2 linked regions of the Rhinolophus ferrumequinum genome follow. The protein of the gene in region 1 purifies or fractionates together with the protein of each later gene. This does not show direct contact. Links are inferred from orthologs where the notes say so. Each region holds a gene or a part of one and is shown on either strand. Other genes may lie near its edges.

Region 1 (11,245 bases):
GATTATTGCAAAAGCCTCCGTAGAAAGTCCTCTGTGATCTGCCTCCTGCAAAATCCTCCAGATTTTTCTTCTGCCACAGGCCTTTGCCTTTGTTGGCACTTTAGTTAAACCAAACTGCTTATGGTCTCACCCAGAGTGGAAAATGCTGCAAACGGGTCTGAAACCTGGTGGATCAGAGCCGTGGCCTGTGGGAAGTCAAAAGGAAGGGGTTTCGAAAATGAGTGGGACCAGAGAGATGACATCATCTTGAAAGGGAGTGGTGCCCCTTGCAGGCTTGGCGAGTAAAGGGGAAAAAAGGAAGCAAGAAGCTGATGATGATGGCTTATCAATAGCAAGTCAAAGATTCAGAAGAAAATGGACTGTTCCCCGCCATGGCCACGTAGACGTTCCTTACTAAAGAAATGTTACATTATTGACCAACAGAAAAGGGCTTTTTTGGACCAAGAAGCAGAGAAAGCCACTCGATTCATTCTCCATTTTACCTCTGCCCCCATAGAGTTGCCTGTTATTGCACGCATGCCAACATAAATAGCAAAAGGAATTCACCATTTATACAAGTATAGGAAGAAAACGGAGTGAGAATCATAACTTTTCAAGCTGATGAAATACTCAAAAGGAAAATGGGACAAAGTAAACAACCCTGAAATACGAATTTTAAAATAATTAAAAAACAATTGTGAATATAAAAGAATACCACAGATCAGAAATTCAAAAACTCAGAATAAAAATGAAAAAGCAACAGGCATATGTGAAAAGGAAACTGACCAAACTTGGGAAAGAGTTTGAATAAAAAGATAAAATCATCATAATTATGAAGACTGCATTACAACACATCTAAATTAAAGTAAATATGACTGCAAGTACAGTAAAGCATATAGAAGAAAGGAATGAAAAAAGCTAAGACCGCAAAAACAATATAAAGGAAGAGCTAAAAAGGCCCAGAAAGAAAATGATGGATAAAAAGACAGGCAAAAAAAGATTAACAAGTAAAATCAGAGTTCCTGAAGCCAAAAGATAAGACAGTGGAACAGAGTTAATATTTAAAACTGTACCCCAAGAGAAATTTCTGAAAACTCGAAGACCTGAATCTGTATCTTGAAGGGGCCTATCTTGTTACTTGGAAAATTGTTCCAGAATGATCAACTAAGACATATCCTAGCCTAACTATTACACTTTGAAGGTGAGGAGAAAACTAGGTCAAAAAGACCTAGTCTTTTGCAAAGGAAAAATCAGGTTGGCATCAGACTTCTCAAAAAGCAAGTAGCAGTGGAGCAACATTTTCAAGAAACTTAAAAAATTTGAACTAAGTGTTTAGTATCCAGCTAAGCTGTCCTAAGTATCAAGGAGATCTATCTATCTATCTATCTATCTATCTATCTATCTATCTATCTATCTATCATCTATCTATCTAATGTTTTAATCATGCAATAGCTCAGGAAATAACCCCTTAGGATTCTACAAAGACAAACTTCATCCAAGTAGGAGATGATTGGGGAAACTTCCACAAAAGGACTGGTAGTGAGCATTGAATATCTTTAATTTTAGATCTGAGGTCAAAATGAACGTAGGGATAAGGGTGAAAGAATAGTATCAAATAGTCTATGTTTTAACAAGGTAAAAGCAACACAACTATAAATGAAAAGGGAGAGAGGAAGCGGACAGTACAAAGAGCTCTTTGTTGCCAGAAACAATATGTGCCAATCAAACAGTATCACTTTAGGTTGACAGAACAAATAGTTGAGGCTTAAGGAAAAAGGGAGACAAAGCATTATATAAAGATAACAGTATAGTATAAAGATAGTCACTAGGATAAAAGTAGACATCTCCCTCAATGCCCAAACAGACAATCATAAAGGCACTAGATCACATAGTGAAAAACATGCAGTAAATGTAACATCATACACACAGCAACTGGAAGGACAAGCAGGCGTCAAATTAGTAAATGGAAGGACTCAACTCCTCTATTAAAAACTTTCAGATTGGCTCACAAACCAGTATCTTACTGGCTGTTATTTACAAGAGACACATTTAAAGTAAGTGACCCAGAAAGGCTAAAAAGGAAAGGGATGGGCGACAATATAACAGCAAATACAAATTATGAAAAGCAGATTACAGTATCGATGTTAACAAGGTAGATGGAATTCAGGAAAAGATTAGACACGACAAAGAAGGACACTGATGTTAAAAGCCACAATTCAAAATGAAGACACACTGGTTATGAATGTTACAGCATCAGCCGGTTGGTTTGTCAACTTCAAATGATAGTCTTTGATTCCCACCTAGAGATTCCAACAGAATCAGTATATCTTCTGAATATATATATTGAACTTTGCACTTTTAAGGAATAATAGATAATACACCTTTTATCCTCACAAAGATTGGCCGTTTATTATACTGCAAAGAAAACATCTAAATTTCCACAAGATAGAAATAATACAGTTTTTAATCACAATGCAATAAAATGAGAAATTAATAAAATGTTTTTTAAAAGTCACACCTAGAGAAAGACTTTCTGTGAAACTACTCTTGGGACAAAGGAATATAAACCCAAATTTCAGAGTTTCTAGAGAATGATTGGTAACAAAGTCTAATTAAAACGGTAGGTGAAATATAGTTTTAAAATACTGTACCATTGATAAAAATAAAAGATGAATTTAAAATACTCAAAAAGCAAAAAAAAAAGTGAATAAGAGAAAGGGGAAATAAGTAACGACAATCACACAAGTGAGGAAAACAGGAAAAAATAATAAATGAGTGGTATTTTGATTATTTGAAACAATAAAAATAAACTAGCTAAGAAGTAAGGAGAGGCAAGCAGAAATACACAAAATAAAAATAATAGTGAAAAATTAACATTGGAACAAAATATTAAAGAGTATTTTCTACAATTCTGCAAATAAATGGGAAAACCTAGATGAAATGGTAATGACCTAGGGAAATATAATTTACCAAAATAACTAGTAGAGACAGAAAGTTTAAACAAACTAATTTTCATAAAGGAAACAGAAAAGATTGTCAACTACCCTATAAAAAAGACACTACAGTGTTTCCCCGAAAATGAGACCTAATCGGAAAGTAAGTCCTAGCATGATTTTTCAGGATGCTCGTAATATAAAATAAGTCCTACCATATTTCCCCGAAAATAAGACCGGGTCTTATATTAATTTTTGCTCCAAAAGATGCATTAGGGTTTATTTTATATTACGAGCATCCTGAAAAATAATGCTCATTTTCCGGTTAGGTCTTATTTTGGGGGAAACACGGTAGGTTTCACAGGGGAATTTTACCAAACCTTCATGGACCAATCAATCCCAATGCTATATAATGTATCCCAGAACACTGGAAAAAAAGCACCAGATTATTTTTACAAAGCAAATACAACATCGATCCCTATACGATGTTGCAAAAATGCCCCAATTCTTCACACCTGTATATCTATATTGCCATGGAATTTTGTTGTTCCCTCCCTCTCTGACTTGGCTCAGCTACGCAAGTTTGGCCAATGGGATTTTCACAAATATGGTGTAAGCAAGGACTTGAAAAGCCGTTATGCCATTGAAATTGTTCTCACTTTGCTCTGCCTTTTTCATGAAAAATTTGTGCCTAAGCTAGCCTGACCAAAGCCATCTGGACCATCCACAGGGTAACCGCCCCAGACGTGTGTGAGTCCAGATGAGACCAGAAGAACTGCCCAGTCAAGACCAAACTAAATTACCAGACTGCAGATTCATGAACTAAATAAATATTTATTACTTTAAAGCATGGAGATGTAAAGTGATTTATTACACAGCAATAGATAACATATAGAAATTGTTGCCAAGAATAAAAACGAATATATGTGACATTGAAACTGGGCTGTAGGTGGAGACAGGAAAAATGGTGAGGAAATTATTGGAGGCTGAAAAAATGCAGGCAAACTGAGTACCTGTGGTGACTTGGAAGATAAGTGTACGTACTGAACATTTTGGCTTGAGAAATTCCTAGGCAGAATGTTGAAAATGTCAGCTATTACTCAGAAAAGAACTAGCCAGATTTCAAGTAGAATTTAGAGGGAATATAAAGGTGCTAGAATGAAAAAATAACTTTCTCATCTCCATCCCTTTAAGCGAATAAAAGATTATCAAATTTAAGACATGGCTTTAAGTAAAAATCAAGGGCTGAAAGATACTTTAAGACCTTGGAAAGAATCAAGGCACTGTCTAGTAGACCCAGCTGATTTAAATGACTTCCAGCTATCAAGATTCTTGTCCCATAGCAGCCTGATATAGCTAAAGTATTAGGGATTGAGAGAGAGAGAGAGAGAGCGCTGAAAAATAATTGTGGGTATGGCTTTTGGTGCATAGAGTGGATTCAAATCAGACATAGAAAATTCACAGAACTTTTTAGGAAGCTACAGTAATAAAAGTGACATCAATGTAGTTAGAAAGGGACTAAAGGTAAAACACTGGCAAGGAGGGGCTGTCATTTCAACATAGAATTTTCCAGAACTGGAAGGAACCTTTAAAAACCCAGAAATCTTTCAGGGTAGTGACTCCAAAGTGTGGTCCCGGAAGTGTTCCTGATGCTTTGGGAACCTGGCGATGGTGGAGCCTCATTTCAACTTCAATCAACTTCTATATGGTGGAGTTTTACATAAAATTTTGTTTGAATAAGGTTTCTACTATTTAAAAAATGGAAAGCCCGGGAGTCCAACCTCTTCACTTTCTGTGTAAGGAATTTGAGACTTAGAGAAGTGAAATAACTCAGACTTCCAGCACCTCCTGGCTGCTCCTGCGCTAACAAAGTCTGTGGCAAGTCAGGAGAAGAGGGAGGACAATTTCTGTATCCAAGGATCTTGCATCCCATCCCTGAGCTGTGACGGGCTTTTCCTCTTTACCTGGGAGCCCCATCATGACCCTCCCAAACTGTGGTTGTGTCATAAAGAAGGTGGAATCTGAGATGGAGAACAACCACCCCAAGAAGGAATCTGGGGTGAAGAGGGATAGCGAAGCCATTCTCTAGACAAGATCTTCAACTGCGGGGACTGGCGGCAATTGCGAACAATTTTGAAGGTGCAGATTGAAGAGGGTGGGGGAGTGCAGAGGCCCAAATGGAGTAGTGGCGGGGAAGCAAGTTGCCAAGGCCCTTTGGCATCGGCTGCTGCTCTGCGAGGCGGGGCTCGGCGCCCTCCCTCTCTGGGATGGTTCCGACTTCAGGATCTCCAGCTGTGCCTTTGTGTGTGTGGGGTGTGGGGTTATAGACGTGCGGGGCCAGTTGTCATTTCAGAGAAGTCAGCCTTTTCCTGCCGATACAGACATGACTCTCCTATGGTTCACTATGACCCCCACTTCACAGGTGGGCGCGAAGAGGAATCCAGGCCAGAGTCCTAGGGCTGTTCACCTACTTTGGGGTCGCAGGGCAGCGTTCGGGAACGTGGGCTCCAGCGCGCAGAGCATGAATCCACAGTGCCGAGGGTACAGGTCCCGGAGTCCGGGACAAAATGGTCCAGGGCCCAACCCCGCCACCTCTGCAAGCGCGCCCTGACTGGCCCTCCAGTCTCTAGGATTCCTCGCGTCCTCAAGGAGGGCGCGGGCTGGGGGCGGGGCCTCTTTGTTGTTGTTTCTCTGGAGCCCCGCCCCTGAGGGGGGCGCGGACCACGCGGCCAGAGGGCCCGCCTCCCCTCCCCCTCCCCGCCCAGCTCGCCCGCCTCTTTGTATCCAACATCCGGGTTTCCCCGCTGGCTCGGCTCCGCGGCCGCGGCTCAGGAGCCATTTTGGACTCGGTTCAGCTCCCCTCCCCCCACCCCTCCCCCCGTTCATGGCCCCTCCGGACTCGGCCCCTGCGCCGGGGGCCCGGGCCCAGCCCCACCGCGCTATGCCTGAATCGGGCGCGCCCCGGCCCGCGCCCCACCGCCGCCCCCCGGTCCCCGCGTCGTCCCGGAGCCCGGGCCGCAGCCTGCGCTGCCCGCAACAGCCCTGAACCCGGTCTCGCCGCCCGGCCCTTGGAGCCAGCACGCTGCCCGGGGACGAAGGCGCAGAAAGTGCGCTGGGAACGAGACCTAAGGAAGGAGCGAGAAGGAGAGCGCAGCCGCCGCCGGGCCCTGCGCGCCCCAGGAGCGCCGCGCGGCCCTGCCCGCGGGCTCCGGGTGTCCGCGGGGCGGCGCCGCGGAACATGACGGCGCCCTGGGCGGCCCTCGCCCTCCTTTGGGGATCGCTGTGCGCGGGTAAGGACTGGGCGCGGCGTGGGGGGCGCGGGGAGGGCGCGCGGGGCCAGCCTCGGGCGACGCGTGGTGTTTACCAACAAAGGGAGGGCCCCTGCGGCCTCCTCGCCGCGCCACCTGCACCCAGCTGGCACCTCCCGGGGCGGGGACTGGGGGCGCGCCGGGCGCCCCGCTCGCTGATCTTGGTGGGGGGAATCTTGTTTGTGCGGCGGTCTGCAGGGCTCCGGTTCGCGGTGGCGACCCCATGATGGGGGCCGAGACCCAGGGTCGGGGTTCGGGCTCCACGGGAGCGTGGAACCCAGGGAGAATGAGAGGAAAACCAGAGCGTAGGGAAGGTAGCCAAGCGGGGCGGGCAGATCTAATCCCAGGATGTCGGGTTTGTAGGTGCAGCAGCAGCGGCTAGGGGGAGGGCTGCGCGACCCTCAGTGCCACTAGGTGTAGCGAAACGAGGGGCTTGCTTCTCGGAGGGGTCCCCTGCATCCCATTCCACTAGGGTCTGTGTCGTATTGCAAGGCGGGATGCTGGCACCCGCTCCCACCTGCGCCCGCTTTCCCTGCGATGGGGCCAGGGCGCGAGGTGCAGCCACTCCGCGGGACCGCTTTGTTTTGGGCGCCTGGGCTGGGAGGTGGGGCGAGAAGAAAAACCAACAGGTCTCTGTTCGCTCTGGCCTCTGGGAAGCACGTGGGGTGGGTGGGTGGCTCGCGGGGCTAGCGTTCGGCTCGCGCTGGTGTGGTTGAGGGTGTGTGGGTGCGGGTGTATACTTGAAGTGTTCTGCCAGGAAGGTGCTTTTTCCTTTAGGTCGAAGCACCGATTTCTCTCTTCTAGCGGTGCTGAGGCGCGCCCAAATCGGGTGTGCGCGCAGGAACGGGCTCGGCGCTCCGGTTAGGATGGCTTCAGGCAGCCCTGGGAAGCGTGCAGAGTCGCGCTTTGAAGCTGCAGGGAAAGTCTGGGGCGGTCTGGGCCGCTGGTGCGCGGCAGCCGGAGCGCTGCGTCTTGCGCGTCTTTGTTCCCAGCCCCCATTACACATGCAGCGCGGGTCCCTAGCTGCCCGAGGTGGCAGCAGCGCGGAGTCTGGGAAACCCGCGAAGGGCGGGGCCGGGCGTGCAGGGGCGGGGCTGGGATCCCCGCGCTGCCGGGAGGGTAGGGATCCGGGATCTCCATCCCACTCCCACCCCCGACTCTGTCCGCTTCATTTGCAATGTAGTTTGGTTCAGCTGTCTACATCAAAGCAAGTGAATTCTCTGTGTGGGGCTTGTTGTTGCCTAACCTGCATGCAAGGACCAGAGGATAGAGACCTTGTTGGTATCTGGGGGAGGGCGTCATGGCTCTTTTGGAACCGTTAACTGTGTGGTAGAGGCGGCGTGGTGGTGTTGACCTTGTTCTCCTTTTTGCCCCTAGTCCCTTTTAAGTGCTGCTTTGAGATGCTTTTTCCCAAAGAAAGGATGGCATTGGCCTGTAGAGGGGAGAGTGGCAGCAAGCTGACTTAATAGGCACGCACAGTTCACCTGGCTGTCTCTAGAACCGTCCTGGACATTCCTGGGCTCCCGAAACCCTCTCCTGATTTGTCTCACTATCCTCACCGGACTCACTTGCCTCTTCGATTAGGCAGGGCGGGATGGATTCCCCCCTCCCCCAAGCGCTGTATTTCCCTCCTTTTCCCTTTGCTCCTCCCTCCTGGCTTGGGCAGTACCCTGCAAGGTGGGGCAGCTGGAGTTAGATTGAAGTCGACCAACCTGTGTTCCTACCTTGGGAGAAAGGTGAGGGGCATGGTGTTTCTTGTGGTCACACCAACCAGTCCTTTGGTGGGCCACTGCTCTGACCTGTGAGGAACCGTGGGAAGAGCTGGCCCAGGCGCAAGTGGGGACAGAGCTGGCCCTCCTGTTCCTTTGACTTCATGGATGCCCTTTTTGTCAAGCTCCTGGCTTGCTGTTAGAATTACTCCCACTCCCTGTGGCATACCGTGTCCTTGTAGAAGGAAGATCTTTCAGAACAGCTCTGTCCACCAGAAATACAGTGTGAACAACACACGTAAGTTAAAATTTTCTGGTAGTCATGTGAATAAAAAGAAAAAGAAAGGAACAGGTGTGTCTTAGTCTTCTCAGTCTGCTGTAACAATACCATAGACTGGGTGACTTAAATAGCACTATTTTCTCACAGTTCTGGCGGGTGGAAGTCCAAACTCAGCCCCAGCCTGGTAGGGCCCTCTTTCTGGTTGGCAGATGGCTGCCTTCTCAGTGGGTCCTCACGTGGCTTTTCGTTGGCACTCACTGGGGGAGAGATTGTTCCTTTTCCATTCACCCCATCATGAGGGCCCCACCCTCATGACCCAATCTAACCCGTATTACCTCCCAAAGGCCCCATTTCCAAATATTGGGTGTTAGGGCTTCAACATATCAGTGTGGGGGTAGCAAACATTCAATCCGTAACACGGTGAAATTTAATGATGTGTTTACTTAGCCTGAAATATGCAAAATAATCATTTCAACATTCATCAATATTAAAACGAGGCATTTTACATTCTTTTTTATACTGTTTCAAAATCCAGTGTGTATTTTATAGTTAGAGAACATGTGAACTCACACTTTCCACATTTTAAGTGCTCAACAGTCACATGTGGCTCATGGCTACCATATTGGATGGCACAGACCTAGAAGAAACGGCAGAATTTCTGTTGTGATAATGGTACATGTTCAATTACTGCCACAAGTCCTTTGTGTTTTGTGCCTGTACCCGTGTCCTTGGGAAACAAGTTGTTTGGAGCTTGCATTGCTGGTTTGGATCTTGCATGTGGTCATCCCAGACACACATCTGTGTATCCCACAGAGCTGCTGATCTCTGTCTCTGTACTGGACTTGGGGTTCAGATCAGGGCGCGTGGGGGCAGGGAGTTCTTTGTGGAAGGTCAGGAGCTACTAGCTGGGCAGGAGGACCTAATTCTAGTCTGTCCTCTCAGGAAACGCAGGCCTTGACTGCTCCAGCCTGCCCTCAGAGGCTGGTTACTCTGACCCAGAGTTGTCTGTTTCCTCAGGGGAGAAGTGTATGTTTGTGGGTGAAGTGATGCCCAGGCCCAGTAGTGGTAACTGTCAAGGACATGGACCGCAGAGCCACGGCCATTGTATCTGCTGGGCACCCCCGCTCTGCCCTGCCTGGCTGGCTGGGCTGTGCTTTGGGAGGAGTGATCCCCTTCCTCAGCTCTTGGAGGCTCTTCCAAGATACATGATGTGAGAAACTTGCCCATCCCCCAGGCCTTGGAAACGTAAGACCCAGAACCCCATGGCCTCCCACAGCTTGGTGGGCCTCTGTGGGGTCTTTCTGGGCCTGGAGGATCCCCGTTAGGACCTGGACTTCCCCTAGCACTTCACCCAAGGAACTTGCTTTGTAGGGACCAGTGGAGAGCCCCCGTCCTACACCATGATTCTTTGTATCATGTGCTCCTCTGAGAGTCTGATGAAAGACGTGGACCCTTTCCTCAAGAAAATACAGATAAGTGTGTGTGTGTGTGTGTGTGTGTGTGTGTGCAAGTGTATGCACAGGTTATCCATGCACACGCACTGATCTGCACTGATACCAAGAACCTGTGGTCCCCTGGGTTGGACTCTGAAGTCCTGGTAGCCTGCACGGACCCATTGTACCAGTCCTGAGGGGCAGCTGGCTGTCCTTGGGGCACCCTGGGTTTGTTCCCTTCTTGCTGCTTCAGCTTAACCTATTCTAGTCACTGTACGTGACTTCTTTACTTCTGCTTTTTGTGATGCCGCCCAGTGTTCAGATTCCAGCCCTGGTCCCCTCCTCCCCTTCCTTCTCCCCCTCCTCTGAATGCCAGTGCATTCAGCTCCCAGCCTGGGAGCTCAGGGTAGTACAAGTGGGGACAAAGGGACATGAGGTCAGAGTTTAAATCCACCTGCAGTTACTGGCCTGTTACCGTAGACTGTGATCTGGGGGCTGGGGGGGTGCTGGTCTGGGTGATACTTTTGAGAATGACACTGGATACGCAGCCCTCTGGCAGGGTCCTGGCTGGGTGAGCCTCATTCTAGAACACGGTTTCTCAGTCTTGACACTGCTGACAGTTTGGACCTAATGATTCTTTGTTGTGTGGGTGGGGGTGGGGGTGGGGGGGGCTGCGAGCAGAGCCGTCCTGGGCACTGTAGGATGTTTAGCAGCATCCCTGGCCTCTACCCGCAAGATGCCAGTAGCACTTCTAATCGTGAAAACTGAAAATGTTTCCAGGCATTGCCAAATGTCCTGGGTGGGGCGGGGCTGCAAAATCACCTCTGGATGAGAACCTCTGATCTAGAATGTTCTCATGCTTTTAAAGAAACAGACAGTTGTGAGAGGTAGGGTTCTCTGTGGCTAATACCTACCCCCCCATCAGATTCAGGGTGGGATGTTGGATTTTCCTCAAAGTCTAGATTTCGTGCTTTGATTAACCTGCTCATTGTGGGCGAATTTGGTTGGAACTTAGTGGTTTAGGAGCACTGCCGGCCACCGAGGAGAATCCTGGCGTCCTTGAGTTTTCCCAGAAGTGGTTCGGGTTTCAGGGAGGCAGCGGTTGTGGGTGGCCGGGCAGCGTGCCCGCCCGCACCCGCCCACCCGCCTCTGACCGCCGCCTGGAAGTTTGCGCTCCTGCCTCGCCCTCCCTCCCTCCCACACGCGCAGAATGTCAGCGAGGGCCCGTTGCGGCGGCCTCGGCGCCGCCCAGCAGTCCCTGTCTGCTCACCTGGGAGCCGCGGGAGCTGAGGCGGGCAGCGTGGGCCCAGCGGAGCGCCGGGGCTTGTAGCAGGACGCGGCGGGCATGCCCTTTCCCCTGAGCGGGCCGTCGCTGTGGCGCCCTGAGGAGCCGCAGCAGCTGTGGGCCTGGAGCTCCGAACCCGGGGACGCCCGGGCAGGGGGGCCGCCTCTCCCTAAAGGTACGGGCACAGGTCTCTACGCTGGCCTCAGGGCCGGGCTTCCTCCTCTGGACCTGGGGAGGTGTAGTGGGCAGAAGTGCCCGCAACAGGTGCTAGTGCTGGAGGCCCTGACCCAGGGGGTTTGGTCCCTATGGGCTTGGCAG
Region 2 (10,904 bases), on another chromosome or scaffold:
GTTGGAATTGGCCAAAATGACATGATTGGCTTTCTGCCCCTGTTTATTAAGTCATCATAAATTAACCCCTGGCCTTTGGGAGAGAGGTTTTCTGAAGATTTTTCCCTCTAATAGAATGGCTCTTCCTTCATTCATCATTCTATCTCATCTTTAAAGAGAAACTCAGTGCGTGTTAAGAAAAGGAGCTGTGGCCATAAATTATTTTTTGAAAGTTCAAGACTAGCTGTAGAATCCAGTGGTTCCAGTTAAACACTCAGAATATTGTGCTTAATTAGTTTGCTTTTCCAAGCTGATAAAAACTAACAGAAGTCCTGCTTGCAATTTCACCTTTGCAAACTTGACCTTCCTAAAATTAGAGTGGGGCACCTGGAAATATTTGCTAACCGAGCTGAGCCACTGCCAGAGCACACTGTCAGTGCCCATGGAAGTACACAGGCGTTCCAGCGTGCGAGGCGCTGTAACACAGGGCAGAACCTTTGGACCCTCTATCAGCACAGGAGGGAGACAGCAACTCACCAATTAAAAGAAACACACACACACACACAAACCCAGGCCTGCCCCCAGCCTATTCCGTCTTCCCCTCTAAAGCTATAATTTGGGAACAGGTTGTGAGATACCTTTGTGGACAGGCGAAACTGGATTCCTGTTCTCTTATCTAAGCCCAGTGGAATCTAGATGCTAAACCTATATGTCCTTAAGTCAGCAACATGGAACTTATTACCCGAGGGGATCCAGGTGAGAAAAACTATTGCAACAGCTGTTATATGTTCTTTTGTGAGTACTTCTCATAATCTTCTGGGCAACAGGAAGATCAACTGCTGTGGCAGATGTTTCCTGATTAGATCAGAACTGAGCTATGATAATCAACTTCAAAATATACGTTGGCCAGGAAGGACTTTGGGGGTGTAGTTATTCATTTGAGTTAGTGTTACTGTTGTTTTTTTCAGTATATGTTTTTCTATAGAGGTTATAAATGATGATTTCTCTCTATGTACTGAGTTTTTCACAAGTACTAACTAGTTACTTCTTGGGAGGAAATCCAGGCACTTCTGAATCATTTGGTAGTTGATCAGGTCTTTGGTTCCAAACTGACCATTTACCTGAGGAGACTGATTCACATGCTACAGTCGATGAGACGGCGTCAGAGTGTCTAAGACATTCCCCTCATGGCTCCCTTCATCTTACAACAGGCTCTGACCGACTCTCTCCTTCTGGATGATCCAGGTCACTGAGAGTAAGTGATGACTCAGGGGAGTTGGTCTCAGCATGCAGGGGATGGCACGTCACACCTAAGCTAGTGATCCAGGCAAATTCTCTTTTGTGTGCTTCACCAACATTTGTTGATTATTATTGTTTTCCATGATGTGGGGTCCTTCATAATAGTTTCTCTAGGACTCACAGGAGAGCAACATCTGAAGAAGCATGGTCTTCTTTCAACAGTCATACCACTTCCTTTTAAAGAGAAAGTTTGGAGAATATAATCTTGCTTGGAAAATGCATTAGGATTTAGCAAAGCGCTCTGTTTTATCTCTTTGGATATTGATTGTGTGTCATTCCCCTAACATATTAAACAAATAAAATCAAGCTACATCATATTCACTTGCTCTGGGAGAAAGGCATGGTAATCTCACTTTTTGTGAATTTTACTTTGGGGAATTCTCTATTGCATAGATTTATCAGATACTGAATTGCTAAAGTGAATAACTCAATTCCTCATTCGCTTACTCTTCTCCATGAGTCTGTTGCCTCCTGACAACTCGGGTGTGGGCCAGCTCATCTCATTTTGTTGTTGATCACCAAGATTCTGCATTTGGTTAGAACACAAAGCCAGCAGGAAACCTACTGAAGCCACACTGGAAAGTTGGTTGGGACAACAGCAACGTTGCCGAAGAGGTGCTCTTACTGTGTCCGTTTTGCTGATGGTGTGGGCCTCCATTAATCAGGAAGCACAAGACACATGCGGAGGAAGAATCATTAGGATTATGAATATTTTGCATAGTTGTCAAGGCCTCTTAGGACCTTCATGGGAAGGGAATTAGATAAAACTTAAATGTATAACTCTAAATCAGGGTTTCTCAACTGTGGAACAAGCAACATTTTCTCTGTTGTGTGCGCAGTCCTGTGCATTGTAGGATGTGTAGCAGCATCCCTGGCCTCTACCCACTGGATGCCACTAGCGCCAACCCCCACCCCATCCTGTTTTGCCAGGCCAATAGGTCTTCAGACATTGCTGAATGTCTCCTGGGAAGCAAAATCACCCCTGTTGAGAAACACTGCTCTAGAGTGAAGGATAACAGTTTACTTACTTTTTTTATTCTTTCCCTAATCATGTTAGTTCTAGCCTCTGGGTTCCTTCTGTTCAGAAAAGGCAATTCCAAATATTCTGAACACACAGCACACATACATAGCACAAGGCCTTGTGGGCTATGCAGAGAAATGTAGGATTCTCAAAGAAATGGTGGCTTAGGAAGACAGTTTGGATGAACTATTTCTGACTCTTAGTTTCTAATGAATTCTGGAAGAATTTTAATCTCTCTCTCTCTCTCTCTCTCTCTCTCTCTCCTCTCTCTCTCTCTCTCTCTTCATTTATTGATTTAACTTAAAAGCGAACAGCTTCTCAGTTCAATTTTGAACATGACATGCTGGTCCTTCTTCGTCCCAAATCTCTCTACCTAATGTTCAGCCCAGGTGATGGGCAAGCTCTGGCTGTCCAGGGAACAGGCAGGATTTGCCAATCCCTTAGCAGCCTACACCATCTGAGGAGGTTCCTGAAATCTCACTGCAGCAGATATCACTCTGATCCTGCCCAGATTTTCTGGATTCTGAGCTGCCTCCCAAAGGAGTCACCGCCCCTCAACTCCGCAAGGTTTTCCTGCCTTGAGCCCAGAATAACATGTCAGCTGTTGTGAACACCTCGAGTCCTTTTGATTTCTCTCCATAGTCACGTTTTATGTTCAGTTTCCCAGACAGGATGAACCAGAAATCATGCTTTTTTGGAAACAGATTTTTCATAAGAAGGAACTCAAACACCCTGAGTTGTCAGCAGGCTAGTCCGTGCTCTGAACACCCAGACTCGTGCCATTTCAGCTGAATCAGAGGACAATTTCCCAGTCACTTGCTAGGGTTTTTCACGTCTCCTGGCGTGTATTTTTCAGTGAATAACAGCAATGCATGAGCTGCAGCTAAAATAACAGAGCCATGAAAACAACCTCCTTTTCTAGGGCTGTCTCCTTGTTCCAGGAGTAGTGAGCAAAGAGACCAAATTAATAGCATGGATGGAAGCTGAAGGACATACGGTTTGCTTGAGAAGAAAAATGAACATTCTCACTTCTTGCTCCATGCCAACTTCATAGGGGGACAGCTACTGCCATAGGTAAACACCACTATAGGTTAGACATGCCCGAAGGTGTGTGTCACCGCTGGCCACAGGGAGGCACAGGGACGCTGGTCTCTCCCCTGGTTGCACCATTGAGCTCTTATCCTTAAATGAACTTTGTTTTTGACCAGCTCACTAACTGTGATTGAAAACACCAGCTCTGCAGCAAGGCACAAGCCCTGGAGTTAGCAGCAGTAAGGCAGGCCCTAATTGTGCCATTTACATAAAAGTAGAAACATACAACTTCTAAATATACATCTCTGGCACATCGTGCCTTTTGCAATTACAGTAAAATAAGGTACCACACAGTTTCCTTCCCTGCTTCTTGTAGCAGCAAGCTGCTTTGCCGGGTTCTCCAGGGGCAGCTCCTCTAGGCGAGAGCAGAGCCCTGCAAATGCTCCGGCGAGAAGCTGGTAGCTTTGAGAAGTGGCGGGTCAATCCCTCCGCCCGCACTAGGCGGAAAACCGGCTGGCAGCAGGCCGCTGTGCTAGCGCAGGAGCCGGTAGGACTCAATGCCCCCCGCGGGAAGGGGACGGCTCCTGCGGCGTCAACGCCCCCGGCGGGTCTCAGTCCGCCCCGCAGCCGGCCCGCAGGTCCCCAGCGGGTCCCTGAGACTGGCTGCGCTCTCGGCCCTGGCACCGAGGGCTGTTTCAGAGATTCCCAGCTACACTTACAGAACAGTGATTTCCAACCCCCCTCCCCACCCCACCCCCCCGAATTCTTTAGCTGCCAAAGGGGGAAAGAATAAAAAGCTGCTCTGGAAACAGTTGCCCTTGCTGGTGCTCGGGGTAAAAATAGAGGCGGCCGCTGTGCAGGGCCTGGCGGTCGCGTTCTGGCGTGATCCCTGCGAGCTGCCAGCAGGTGCTGCTCAAGGTACGGTGGCAGCAGAGCAGCCGGGCGCAGGGCCGGGGTGGGAGCTGCTGGGGGAGGGGCAGGAAGTGAAAGAGAAACCGACCGAAGGAGGAACGGGAGATGCTGGTCGGGAGCTGGGCTAGCCTGCTCACCCCCTGGGCTCTGAAGTTGGGAAGGGAAAAGAGCACTCCCAGTCCAGAATATTCGACTGAAGTTATTTTGACCTTCCTGCTTCCTCTACCACCCCCACCTTAATTTCCACTGAGTGAGGAGGCATTTCCAGTGTGTCTCAGCTCTGAGCTTGGGGATTCAGGTAGAGAACTACATCGCAGCTGGTGGGCTGACCTGGCAGGTGGGCATCTGATGGCACAGCCAGTCTGAGTCGCACATTTAGGGTGGCTTCTCTAGTCCGGGAGCTGTAGAATCCTGTGACATAAATGTTTAGATAGTCATCTCAGAAATGGATCCCACTTTATAGATGAGAACACCGAGGCTGACGTTACATGGTTAGTAAGCAGTGGGACCCAGATCTCCATCCTGGTTGGTTGTGTGCCCCAAACTCATACATCCAGTGGCATTTCTGGGACACTAGGGTTCATGCATGGGGGAGGAGATGAGATGAGATGCCCTGCAGGCCATTGCTCTCCGTGGGGGCTCATCAATGGGGGGGGGGGAATTCCTTTCTTACAAAGAGGCTGAGTCCACCCAATTCTAAACGGATGGTCAGGTATGCAGTTAACCAACGCTGATCCTATTTCTGTCTTTCCCTCTCAGATTCCTTCTGTTCCTCTACAACCTAATGATTTAATTTCCTACTTCATTTCTGCATATACAGTTCTTAGAAGGCTCCCCAACCCCATATACTGTTAGGCATCCACACTTTCTCTGTGTTTAGCCAAGGCAAACCCTCTTACACAGAAAACTTTTGGTGTCCTAAAGGAACCTGCCTAAACTACACATCAGGAGGCCAGAGGCTCCATATTTTGCTTGTGGGCACAGTGAAAAGTTTATTTTATGCATGTTAAATCCTGCATACAAAACAACATATCTGGTCATATGGCTTTCATTAGGTCCAAACAATTTTGCACGTTTTATTCAACTTGTGGTGAGGACCCAGCTTATGCTGTAGGTATACTCCTCCAAACTAAGCTTCACCATCCTTGTCTGAAGACTCCTTCCTCCTGTGTTATTTCCCAGACTTGCTAATACCCCTCCAGCCCAGCCAAGAAGACCCTGACCAATTTAACCCCTATTTGAAGGAATGTTCACTTCTTTTCATTAATCTCATGTTATTTAGAAATTGTAACAATTTAGAAATCATAGGACTTGTAATTCTGATAAAGAACGATGTATGAGAGGTTTTGTTTGTTTGTTTTTTGCTTCTTTTTTTCCTAGTTAGATTGGGATTCTAAAGAACTGGGAAGGATACTTATAAGGTTCACTTGAACAGAATGACTATTTCCAAAGTTCTTGGTGATAAATGATTTATGAAGCAGGCATTCAATTTCAAGATGTAAAATAATAGTGTAACTCAGGGGAGGAGAGATCATCATCATATAGATATACATATTTTCCTATTTTTTTCTCAATGAAATATCTTATTTTTAAAAGTATAATTAGAATCCCTATAAAGAGCACTGTGAATTTTCTTGCCTGTAAGAAACAATAAAATACTTTGTAAATAGAGGCAACTTCGTGAAGTAACAGATGTTTTATGTGAAGAATAAAACTGAACCTGAATATAATGAGAAGTGTGTGTGCAAATAGTAAAAGAAAAGTTGGAAATTGGACACTCAATGAGATATAGCTGTTCAATTCCAGTTTTTTCTAAAAGCAGTCTAGTCAATTAGAGGTTTAACTGGCTCAGTGATCACCCAGTAGTGTCACAGCAGCTAAGAATGGCTTTCCATTAGATAATGATTATGAAATATGTCTCACACTGGAAAAACCAGTCATCTGCTGATGTCATGCTGATTCTAACCAATCCTAAACAAAGCCCCAGCCCTCCTCTGTTTGAGTGGTACCAACGCATGAGTGTACAAGTAAGTAGTACAGTATAAAACTTCACAGTGCCAGTACCATGAAGAGGAACTCGGACAGCTCTGACCACATGATACAAGAAGCTGCTGGTGAAAGAGAGAGCAACGGGAAGGTAATGCTTTTAATTCTTACTGTGAGCTATTTACACATTCATGGTCAGAATGGTTAGGAGACATTTGCAACTTACTGGCACTTTCCTGTACTGTGTGATTTGTACCTTTTAATATTATTCAGGCAAGTTAATACAGCTTTTAACAGTAGAGCATGCAAATAGATTATGTGTTTATGCAACCCATTCAGCATATAGATACAAGTACATATGCTAAAGAGAAAGCTGTTTGTTTTTTTTTTCCAGTTACATTCACAAACAGTAAATTTAGGGAACACACAAACAGGAAATTTAGGGAATACACACATAAATTTAGGGAACATAGAATCCACATACTGATAAGTTGCACTTATCTAAATGCTACTATTAGGACCCTTGAGTTGTTTGGAGTCATTAAACTTTTAGTTCTATTTCAGACTCTCTTGTAAAACTTAATTGGACTACAAAATGCTTTGGATACTGTATATGTGATGCCAAATAGCTAGATTATGTTAAGTATTATATTTCAAAGACAATCTATTGAACAATTATAACGCCCCCCTTCCCCATTCTCTTTCACCATCCCCCACTAAAAAAAACGAGACTTTTTAGGGAACGTTGACAAAGTCTTAACAATAATAGCAGAGTAAATGATATTCCTGGAGGTGAAACCCTAAAGGTGATAGATGGCTTGTAACACAGGAAGTCTTGCAAGTAGTTGTTTTGGGAAAGGGGGACAATGTATCCAATTCAGAAAAGCATTGTTACCTGTGCAAACTATAATTTTAATTTAGTGTCACAGTTTTCTCACTCTCCTCCCCTGCACTCACATCTTGTGCTTGTAGTAATGACGTTTATTAACTCCCCCCCCCCCCCCCCCCCCCAACTGTATTGCTTGACTATAATGCTCTGAACACACTAGGTGTCAGATATAAGCTGACTATATCTACAGAAACTGAGAGGGCTTATGTGTGGGAAAGAAACCCAGAGGGAAGGAAAGCTTTAACAGATGGACCTCTTAAAGATACTTCTGCAAGATAAAAGCAATAAGACAAAATGAAAAAGGGGGCTGGGGGGGGATGGAGGAGAATTAAAAAAAACCTCAGGCATTGTTTAAAAATTCACATTTTTCTTTTTCTGTGAACACTGAAATCCACGATGATTTCATCTGTGCTGTTCTTTGAAGGAAGCCATCAAGGGATCAGTCCTTGAGCACAGTGGTCCAGAATGGGGTAGGGGTAGGCTGAAAAAACTACCCACATGACAGAGAAAACAATTTGCCAATATATTTTAGAGATTATTTTCCCATAGGACCAGTTATTCAAGTCATAGGAGCACACTGTGTAAAATAATGTGGGAAAGGGCACGTGAATTTTGCATTTTATCTGTGAAGTCGGGGCAAGTGGTGGCTGGCTGTAATTCGTCAGTGTGAGTGTGTATGTGCAGGGCAGGAGGTGGTAGTGACTTAGGGAGAGGGGAAAGGCTTCCTGTGTCCTGAGCCTGTAAAATGCTGCCTGCCTGCCTGTGGATCTTTCAATGCCCAGTGGCATTTTGCAGTTGGGAAAAGTAGAGTGTATTATGTGACCCCAAACAAAAGTTCTATTGCACTCCCCTCAGATCGCCTGCCAGTGTAGACGGCCCTGGACATTTAAATATGAATGAATGGGGAAACGGAAGACCTGCAGGATTCCCTCAGGTCAGAACAATTGACTGGCCCCTGCAGCACTGTTGGCCTCTAGTCCCTCTTTCCGACCTTCCCTACCTGTCCCCAGACCTCTGGGACCCTGAGCCCCACCTTACCAGCCTGTGGGCTCTGAGTCCCGTAGGGCTGTAGCTGGAGGGGTTGGTGGGGTGGTGGGGGCAGACTCTTTCAATCAAGTCATCCCTGAGGATTGAGACAGTGTATTTACTTGGGGTTTTTCTTTCCCCTCCAAAAGAGGAAGAAGGTGAAGCAAGGGGACTGGGAAAAGAAAAAAAAAAAAAAAAAGGAAGTAGAACAAAATTAGGAGGATTTCTTTCAGAAGGGAAAGTAGCACTCCCGAGAATGGTGATATTTGAAGAGAGGTGTGTGAGAGGGAGCAGTGAGCAGAAGGAAAGCAGCCTGTCAGAAAACGGGCTGTCCCTCCCCTTCCTAATGACAGCCTTTACTCACAAACTCCCTCCCTCTCCCATTCACTCACTCACTTAGGGCCAATCGTTCTCTCTCTCTCCCTCTCTCCCTTTCTTTCTCCCTCTCTCCCTCCCTCTCTCCCTCTCCCCCCCTTCTCTCCCTCTCTCTTCTGTCCCCCTCTCTCCTCTCTCCCTGTCTCTCTCCCTCCCATCCTCTCTCTGTCTCTGTCTCCCCCCCACCCTGTCTTTCCCTCCCTCCCTCCCTCTCTCCCTCCCTCTCTCCCTCCCTCCCTCCTTCTCTCTTACTCCGAGACAGTCAGAACTCTCCTCCCTGACAGCCACAAACCTACAGCACTGACTGCATTCAGAGAGGGAACCTGCAAAGAAAACTTCACAGAAAACTTTTTGTTCTCGTTCCAGAGAATTTGCTGAAGAGGAGAAGGAAAAAACCAAACCAAAACAAACCAAACAAAAAACCTGTGCGTAAGGGGAGGGGGGAAAGCAGGGCCTTCAAAAAGGCAACCACAACAACTTTTGCTGCCAGGATGCCCTTGCTTTGGCTGCGAGGATTTTTGTTGGCGAGTTGCTGGATTATAGTGAGGAGTTCCCCCACCCCGGGATCCGAGGGGCACAGTGGGGAACTCGCCTGCCCGTCCTGTGCGCTGACCACCCTCCCCAAGGATGTACCCAACGCTCAGCCGGAGATGGTGGAGGCCGTCAAAAAGCACATTTTAAACATGCTGCACTTGAAGAAGAGACCCGAGGTCACGCAGCCGGTGCCCAAGGCGGCGCTTCTGAACGCTATCAGAAAGCTCCATGTGGGCAAAGTGGGGGAAAACGGGTACGTGGAGATAGAGGATGACATCGGAAGGAGGGCAGAAATGAATGAACTGATGGAGCAGACCTCGGAGATCATCACGTTCGCCGAATCAGGTGGGTGCGGGCACGGGGGGTGGGGATGTGTTTCTCTGACAGTCCTCGGAGCAACTTCTTTCCCTTCAGCTCTAAACTGCCTGGGAGGGTCAGCAGTTATTAGGTGACGGTGGCGGGCGGGCGGAGGGGAGGCCGGGGAGCGGGAGAGGACTGAGAAAGGGACTTGTGGTTGAGCCCTAGCTGGAGGTGGCTAGCTTCCACTTGCTGAACTCCGCGGGTCATCCGGAGGAAGCTCTAGGGCCAGTCTGGAGCTGAAAGCCGTTCTGTGAGAGAGTCTCCCTCGCCCTGCCTGTGAGACCTGGTCTGAGCAGCCTGATGAAAGGCGGGGCATGTTCGGGTGCAAGGGGAGCTGGGGGAGGCCAGGGAGGCTTCCGGACCCCATCCCAAGTTTATTGGGGGCGGGGGTGGGGGCGGGGTGGAATGGCACAGAGGCAGTCATTGTCTTAAACAAACCTTCCGTTTAAAAGTCCATTCAGGGGCCACATCAGAGAAGCAGGGCACATTTATTAGTGACTGTCATTTTTACCTTTAGAAAGGCGAAGAGCACAGGCATCTCATTCTGGGCAGTAAAAAGCGACTTTGGGGGACAGCTGACATTGAACCAGCAGTCACTTTTGGAACACTGACTTTTGCTCTCTGAACCGAGGAAAAAAAAAAAAAGAGTTTTGTTCTCTGTAAAGTTACTAAGAGCTCTCTGCCAAGGAATGCAACCTTGACAAAGTGCTCTCAGATACTACACTGAACTCTCACTCAATCCTAAGAGGAAGAACTTTAATAAATAGATTCTAATCGTTGGCTCAGGACCACACTAACCTGTTGCTGAATAGAAAATACCTGTCAAAAGTGGAGGCGGAGACCTGGGACCAGGTTATTTTTACAGTTATGTGACACAGATCCTTTTGCATCTCTACAAGCCCATGCACGCCCAGGCACACAGATGTGTTAATACCGTGTTACTTTCATGGTAATGCCAGGCTAAGGAATCATATCACTTGCCAGGTCGATTTGAAAGGAGTGCCATTGTTTTGTTTGGTAGAGAATATGGCCAGTAAAGTATGTGCAGGGGCTCCCAGCATTTCTGTTTAGAAGTTTTCTGCGGCAGCAGTACAAACAATAAAGGCAATACTCAGAATTTCCAATCCTGAAAACCTGTTGACTCAGATGTTCTGTTTTCAAGAGGACCTTCCAAGACATGGGCATCCTTTTGGGGGAGCAGCTAGCCTGCTGGCTTCCTGGCTTCTCCCTGCAGGAGAAGGCCTGGGGTCCTGCAAGCTTCCTGGAAGGACAGTTTAGCTATGTCACTAGCAGGTTCTTCCTTTTAAAGAAGTTCTTAACTTTCTTTCCCTAACACTCTTTCTTGATACACCTCAAAGGACATGATAATTATAACTTTATCTTTTGAAGCTTTTTAAGGAAAAAAGTCAGGAGTTTTCAAGTTGCCTCCCAATTTTTCTCAACCTTTGCTGATGGCAAGGTGGGAAAGATAGTGCCTGATGACATTGGGTC

What was found.
Region 2: the proteins of ACVR2B (region 1) and INHBA purify together in Homo sapiens (affinity purification with western blotting; 3 studies listed by BioGRID and IntAct, with this or other methods). This does not show direct contact. The link is inferred for Rhinolophus ferrumequinum from reciprocal best matches to the Homo sapiens genes ACVR2B and INHBA.

The regions. Positions count from the first base shown.
Region 1 is NC_046300.1:14,075,318-14,086,562, reverse strand, and holds the start of ACVR2B (activin receptor type-2B), read left to right. Parts: upstream 1-6,080; 5' UTR 6,081-6,150; coding exon 6,151-6,202; intron 6,203-11,245. UniProt on the Homo sapiens protein: Transmembrane serine/threonine kinase activin type-2 receptor forming an activin receptor complex with activin type-1 serine/threonine kinase receptors (ACVR1, ACVR1B or ACVR1c).
Region 2 is NC_046303.1:55,260,978-55,271,881, reverse strand, and holds the start of INHBA (inhibin beta A chain), read left to right. Parts: upstream 1-6,290; 5' UTR 6,291-6,380; intron 6,381-8,386; exon of another isoform or gene 8,387-8,420; intron 8,421-8,885; 5' UTR 8,886-9,010; coding exon 9,011-9,398; intron 9,399-10,904. UniProt on the Homo sapiens protein: Inhibins/activins are involved in regulating a number of diverse functions such as hypothalamic and pituitary hormone secretion, gonadal hormone secretion, germ cell development and maturation, erythroid differentiation, insulin secretion, nerve cell survival, embryonic axial development or bone growth, depending on their subunit composition.